Linked DNA regions of Arabidopsis thaliana. The protein of the gene in region 1 interacts with the protein of each later gene in a pairwise test. Each region holds a gene or a part of one and is shown on either strand. Other genes may lie near its edges.

Region 1 (3,757 bases):
GGAATTGAAGGACCAAGTGGCGAAAGCGAAGAATTCTAATGAAGAGATGATAAATATAAAGAAAGAGATTGTTGATTTTCATGGAGAAATGGTTTTGTTGATGAATTATAGTGCTCTTAACTATACAGGTAAACTTTTCTTTCTCATGTCATCTCCATGGTTATTGTTTTTCGTTCTTTTCTCATATGTTCTAATCATTCGTAGCCCGAAAGCCGACGTTGAGTAAACAGAACAAGCTCACATGTTGGACAATTGATAGTTTTTAGATGTTAAAACTCGTTTACAAGGTCAAGCTCTAGTTTTTAGCATTTCCTAGTAAGTGAAACCGTGTCAATGGGCAATATTTTTAGAAGTTTTGTGAAAGATTGATTAGTAGGGAACTTGAGTTAGTATTAACATTACGTCTATGTTAAGAGTCATATTCTCCACGATCTTTGTGTTACTTGTTAAATAGAAATGTGCCCACATGAAGGAATATGCTGTAATTTGTTTAACTGGCCACTCATCGCAGATGCTTTCTTTATACTTTTTTCTTATAAATAACTTGAGGTTTATGCCTTTATTCTTATTCGCTAAATGTGTAGAATTGTGTTCTATTGGTTTACAGGATTGGCAAAGATTCTCAAAAAGTATGACAAAAGAACCGGTGCTTTAATCCGTTTACCATTTATCCAAAAGGTTTTGCAAGAACCTTTCTTCACAACTGACCTACTCAACACATTTGTGAAAGAGTGCGAGGCTATGCTGGACCGCCTCTTTCCGTCTAACAAAAGTCGGAATCTGGATGAAGAAGGAGAGCCGACAACTTCTGGAATGGTCAAGACAGGAACGGACGATTCTGAACTTCTTAGAGTACCAAAAGAACTGTCTGAGATTGAGTACATGGAGAGCTTGTATATGAAGAGCACTGTGTCGGCATTAAAAGTATTAAAGGAAATCCGCAGTGGTAGCTCAACAGTTAGCGTCTTCTCGTTGCCACCGTTACCGGCAAGTGGATTAGAAGATGATTCATGGAAGAAGAAAGTTGGTGTCCTTGAACAAGTAGCGAAATGAATTATGAGTATTATTATTTTTAAATCTCTCTTTTTTTTTGTACTTTCTTTAAATAGTACAAGTAATTGTATACGCTTACAGCTGTAAAAGATGAATCAAATAAAACATAGAAGTGTGATCATCTTTCAACATTTAAACTTGGTTGCGTGTACTTTTTCTTTTGCTGCATATCATGTATGAAAAATCTTCTGTAAGACTGTAACACCACTTTCAAGCAGAGAGAACAATGAAATACATACGCCATTTCGAAATCTTATGTATTGCATTTTAGCATCTGTGGGTCAATCGGTCTCTGTACTCCTAACTAGGTGATATTTGGTCCAATTTAAGGGCAGCTCATTCAATCACAAAGAATCAAATATGTTGCAGAGGAAACTGTTCTGACTTCTGTGAATGTTGCAAGATTGTATAGCTGCTTCTTGTTCGGCCCTTTTATATGGGCTTTGTAATATATGGGCCTTTTTTATGTGGGCTTAGATAAGGCTTCGACAAATTTTAGACTACGCTTTGCGTCCCTAAGTGCGGCCACTCAGTAAATCATCTACGTCACTTATTGATCAAACTATGGCTGGGCAGTGGGCAAAACAAACGAACCAGAAATCCTAATTTTGTGTACTTCAAAAATCACCATTTTTTTTTTTTTTTTTTTTACTATTATAACAATACTTTTTGAGATCACCAATTTTCTTATTTTATAACTAATTAATTCTTTCAAGAAATATTTAATTCACTTTTTTATATATTTTAACTAAAAAAGACTAGAAGTTATTACTTTTTCTTTTTGACCCATACTATTAAAAATATAACTGTCACTGAATCGGCTCTAAATCTCCTCGACTTTCAACTCCTACAGACATTCAGACATGTGCAACACTCAACGCACTGTCGATATTACATAGACCCGAAATAAAAGCTCCTTGTCCAAAAACTTCATTCACCCTCTCATCGTTATCTTCATTTGGAAACAACTAAACAATATTCTGTTTTATTAATATTTTCGCCTATTTAAAAATTCAATTAGAATAGTGTATCCCTCTTCTCTATTCCTTCAAGCCAACTAAAACTACATTGCGTGACTTCTTCTGTAACCATTTTTCTATTCCGATCAAACCATGGCGTATTTAGCTCCGATTTCTTCATCCTTATCCATATTCAAGAATCCCCAACTCTCAAGATTCCAATTTTCTTCTTCCTCACCGAACCCACTTTTCCTTCGACCTAGGATTCAGATTCTGAGTATGACCATGAACAAGTCGCCGTCTTTAGTGGTGGTTGCGGCTACTACTGCGGCAGAGAAGCAGAAGAAGAGGTATCCTGGAGAATCAAAGGGTTTTGTGGAGGAGATGAGGTTTGTGGCTATGAGACTTCATACTAAAGATCAAGCTAAGGAAGGTGAGAAAGAGACTAAATCTATTGAGGAACGTCCTGTTGCTAAATGGGAACCTACTGTTGAAGGTTACTTGAGGTTTCTTGTGGATAGTAAATTGGTTTATGATACTCTTGAACTGATTATTCAAGACTCCAATTTCCCAACTTGTGAGTTTTTTTTTTCTCCTTCTTATCTTCTTGTTATGGGTTGATTGGTAATCTTTAGAAAAATTTGAAGTGATTTGGAGTGTTTTTAGATCTTAGTAGTATCTACCCTTTTGATAAAGATGGTTCCTTTGCTTCATTTCTTATCATGTCTGGATTTTGATTCATTCAGATTCTATTGGCTACTTAGGTTTTTGTAACTATTGGATTGAGTTGGTTATAGACTTATAGTGATGGTTTGATATGAATTGAAGTACTCTTAGGATGGTAATCTATTAATAGGTTGAAGTGATTTAATCTTAGTATCTACCCATTTGATAAAAATCATTCCTTTGCCTCATTTCTTATGTTGTTTTGGATTTGAATCGTTCAGAGTTTTTTGACAACTCAGTTATTTACTCTTGGATTGAGTTGTTGGTTGTGGTGTTTTGTATGAATGGTGGATTTAAGGTTGATTATATGTACAACTTGTGAAATCTAACTGAATGTTACCGGAGTTTTGGACTTTCAATCTTAACGTTATCTCTTATTCTTGATTAGCTCGTAATTAAAAACTGAGTTTGCTTATGTATTGGAAAAAGATCTTTATGCAAAAGTAGGTCTTTTTTTCTTGTGTAATCATCTCATGATCTAATTCTGCATACTGTTTTTTATATAGATGCCGAGTTCAAGAACACGGGGCTGGAAAGAGCGGAGAAATTATCCACGGATTTGGAGTGGTTCAAGGAACAAGGTTACGAGATTCCAGAACCAACAGCTCCTGGTAAAACATATTCTCAATATTTAAAGGAATTAGCAGAGAAGGATCCTCAAGCATTCATTTGTCACTTCTACAACATCTACTTTGCTCATAGTGCTGGTGGACGAATGATTGGCAGAAAGGTAAAAACTTTGTGCACTAAAACCATTTGGAAAATTAGCTTTGAATTTTTTCTGAAAGCACACCATATTTTGCAGGTGGCAGAGCGGATACTCGATAATAAAGAACTCGAGTTCTACAAATGGGACGGCGAACTTTCTCAATTGTTGCAGAACGTTAGGGAGAAACTGAACAAGGTTGCAGAGGAGTGGACTAGAGAAGAAAAGAATCATTGTTTGGAAGAGACTGAGAAATCGTTCAAGTATTCTGGTGAGATACTTCGTCTCATATTGTCCTGATTTGGTGCGCAGT
Region 2 (3,757 bases), on another chromosome or scaffold:
AAACCATTCATCAACGTTTTGTTCTACTACTAATAATAAGATTAAGTCTTAATGAGGCAATTAAATTAAATTACCAGTGTAATTAAGAGCACTGTAATTCTCAAGAAGAACCATTTCTCCATGGAAATCAACAATCTCCTTCCTGATTTTTATCATCTTCTCCATTGAATCCTTAGCTTTCGCAATTCTATCTCTAAATTCCTGTTTTTGTACAGACAGAGACACATTAGAAAAAGAGATGATCATTTTTAGGAATCGGATTCGAAATGTTGTTTATATTACCTTTAGTCTGATGATATATTCTTCTTCCTTCTCAACGAAGAAATTGTTGAATTTCTCCAACTCGTCTTCTAACAATTGGATGAAATTGATCTCTTCTTTCGATATTCCGACGGAAAACTCATCTAAACGGAGTCGTTTAACGGGACGATCGGCGGTTTTGGAACCGATGAGTTTGAGTCGTTTTTTGAGTTCTTTGTAAGACAAGAACTTGTCTTGCCATTCAGGAAGAGTTTGCTCGATCTGATTGCTGAGACTCTTACCAAACTTCATAGCTCTTTTATTTTCTGGGAAACTTAAGTGAGAATGATGAATGAAGAAGAAAGAGAGGGGGAAGAGGTTTAGAGATATAAAAGGGATTAAAAAGAATATTCTTAAGGTTTCTAATTAGAATATCCTTTTTTCTCTGTCTTTCTTTCGGGAGAATATCTTCCTTTTATTCCTTTCTTATTTATTACTTTTTCGTGGTTATCTGTGGGTGAGATTATAACACATGCCTATGTCAGTTCATAAATATCAATCACAACTCACATGCCAATTTATTTATCCAATACTTATTATTACAGATTTGCTGTCCAAAAAAAGAAAAATAATATTACAGATTTTATATCCATTTATCTGATTCATTTTTTTCTAAATTCGTATGGGTATCGTACTAATATCTTGATTCATTTTCTTTAGAGTTTGTACTGTATTCATCTGATATTTAAATATTTTACGATATTAGATTTCCTTATTTGGTATTGTCTATATATGTTCATGATATCTTCATAACTATGTACAGTATGTATTAAATCATCTTTTTAAAAATATATGTCTATTTATACATGCAGATACACTATGTAGTAGTGATTTTTTATTTTTTTTGCATTTTTAGATTTAATCAAAAACGAATTGCAAAGTAAAAAAAATGAATATTGGATATAGTATTTACAGTTACAGATATCCTCAAATCCAGCTCAGATTGTCGTCATGACATAAATACGTGGACGTTTGGTCTTCATGATCATATCTGTCTCTCCATGATGATGGCATGATCAATAAATAGTAGTTCAATACTACAACTAGTTTGACAATTTACCCACTTTTGATTTTCTGAAAAGATTTAACAAATACGCAAATGGGTCAAAAGTAGTTGGATTCCATGGAATATTCTTGATAGGAAAAGGGTATAAACCTCGGCATCTTTCAATCTTTCTTTAAAGCACCCCCCAATGGACAATTTATTGAATTTTCCCGATTCGCGTCTTAATTCATTCACATTTGCTCATTATTAGCTTCTGATTTTGACATTTAGGATAAACCACCGGTCCATTTGACATTGTCTATATGCAGCAAATTCTGCTGATTTTACAACTTGTCAATTTATATTTATTAAGAAGACTATCAGTTTATTAGTCAAACAACCAAAGTCCAAATCCTTATGACATGGTCGTCGTATTCTTTACAATCTTTGACGGATAAACTAAAACAATATTTACTTTGCCGTATAATCGAAACTTTCGTGTCTCTGTCTCATTTCTGGGTACGTATGTAATTAATGTATGCAAGCAAAGTAATCCATTGTTGGAGTTAAGTTCCCTCCAGTAGCCCAAATGGAATGGGCCTCGTTAAGTCAAAGTTCCATAATGAAAAAAGCCTAAAGAGTGAAAAAAAAATCTGAATTTTAACCGAAACAAATTTAGTTTGGTTCGTAAATAAAACCAGAACCAAACCGAACCGACAGTACCAAAAAAGAACCGATTGTTAAATGAAAGCGAACAACCACAAGAAATAAAATAGAGCAGAAAACTTTTTTATCAACGATCAATGGCTACCGTTAATCAGCAGCTTTACCGGCCAATACTCACCGCCGTCGGAAGTGACTGCCGGCGGCATGTAACCACCCGTTTCCTCCCTGTTCCGAGACGCAACGTAACCACTCGTCTACGGCCAATTTTGAGTCTTGAGGTGGGCAAGGAAGTGGCTTCAGCACCGTCGACAGTGAACATGGAAGAGCTCGTCGGATTCTTGTACGAGGATCTTCCTCACCTTTTCGACGACCAAGGAATCGATAAAACGGCGTACGATGAGCGCGTGAAGTTCAGAGACCCAATCACTAAGCACGACACCATCTCTGGCTATCTCTTCAACATTGCTTTCCTCAAGAATATCTTCACTCCTCAGTTTCAGCTTCACTGGGCTAAACAGGTCTTTGCTAACTTTTGTTTATCATTTGATTTCTTTAATTCTAGTTTTTTTTAAGTTCACTGATGCAGCTGATATATAGACAGGTCCATATGAGATCACTACGAGATGGACAATGGTGATGAAGTTCATACCTTTACCATGGAAACCAGAACTTGTCTTCACTGGATTATCAATCATGGAAGTTAATCCTGAAACTAACAAATTTTGTAGTCATCTGGTATGTATGGTTGCCATGTCCTTCTTCCAAAATCTATTGTGGTATGGTCTACTTATTACAAGTAGATGTTGTGCAGGACTTGTGGGATTCTATCAAGAACAATGACTACTTTTCTCTTGAAGGTCTTGTTGATGTTTTTAAGCAGGTTGCTTTCTTGGCATTTGGCATGAATTGAGCCCCCTTAGAAATGGTTAATCATATCTTACAAGTACTACCTTTTTTTGCAGTTACGGATATATAAAACGCCAGACTTGGAAACTCCAAAGTATCAAATACTGAAAAGAACAGCAAACTATGAGGTCACATATCTTCATGTATTGGCTTAATGGAACCAACTATGCAAATGTGGTTGCTTGCCTTAAGTTGGATTTGATTGTTTGGCAGGTTAGAAACTATGAGCCCTTCATTGTGGTGGAGACAATTGGTGACAAGCTTTCTGGTTCTTCAGGTTTCAACAATGTTGCTGGGTGAGGGTTAAGTCTAAGTTTCTGTGAGTGTCCATAAATTCTTCTGGCATCTTGTTTTATTTTGATAAATGTAACACATGCTAGCTTTTTTACCTATGAAGCTACATATTTGGAAAGAACTCGACCATGGAGAAAATACCAATGACAACTCCAGTGTTTACTCAAACAACAGATACTCAACTCTCTTCTGATGTCTCTGTACAAATTGTTATTCCATCAGGAAAAGATCTTAGCAGGTAAAGCCTTATCATGGATAGTTTTTTAGTTGACATCAGATATGGTTAATGAGAATCATTGTGTGATGAGAATGGTTTTGCTTTCCTTTTTCCTCTAGCTTACCAATGCCTAATGAAGAAAAGGTAAATTTGAAGAAGTTGGAAGGCGGTTTTGCTGCAGCAGTGAAATTCAGTGGTAAACCGACAGAGGATGTTGTCCAAGCAAAAGAGAATGAACTGAGGAGCAGTCTGAGTAAAGATGGTCTGAGAGCTAAGAAAGGTTGTATGCTTGCTCGTTACAACGATCCAGGACGAACATGGAACTTCATAATGGTATGATTCCAAGCTTTAGCAATATTTGATGTCTAGTTAGAAACCATCTATTAGTC

The links. The genes of interacting proteins can lie anywhere in the genome.
Region 2: the proteins of TED4 (region 1) and HBP5 interact in a two-hybrid assay, tested with the Arabidopsis thaliana proteins (one study listed by BioGRID).

Annotation. Positions count from the first base shown.
Region 1 is NC_003071.7:11,339,651-11,343,407, forward strand, and holds the start of TED4 (Plant heme oxygenase (decyclizing) family protein), read left to right. Parts: upstream 1-1,897; 5' UTR 1,898-2,165; coding exon 2,166-2,589; intron 2,590-3,244; coding exon 3,245-3,468; intron 3,469-3,543; coding exon 3,544-3,744; 3' UTR 3,745-3,757. Other genes in the region: SPX2 (SPX domain-containing protein 2 (SPX2)), read left to right, coding at 2-128, 608-1,053. UniProt on the Arabidopsis thaliana protein: Key enzyme in the synthesis of the chromophore of the phytochrome family of plant photoreceptors. Catalyzes the opening of the heme ring to form the open-chain tetrapyrrole biliverdin IX with the release of iron and carbon monoxide (CO).
Region 2 is NC_003076.8:6,799,224-6,802,980, reverse strand, and holds the start of HBP5 (SOUL heme-binding family protein), read left to right. Parts: upstream 1-2,003; 5' UTR 2,004-2,088; coding exon 2,089-2,469; intron 2,470-2,548; coding exon 2,549-2,686; intron 2,687-2,762; coding exon 2,763-2,831; intron 2,832-2,913; coding exon 2,914-2,985; intron 2,986-3,070; coding exon 3,071-3,153; intron 3,154-3,254; coding exon 3,255-3,389; intron 3,390-3,487; coding exon 3,488-3,701; intron 3,702-3,757. Other genes in the region: SPX1 (SPX domain-containing protein 1), read right to left, coding at 75-201, 283-552.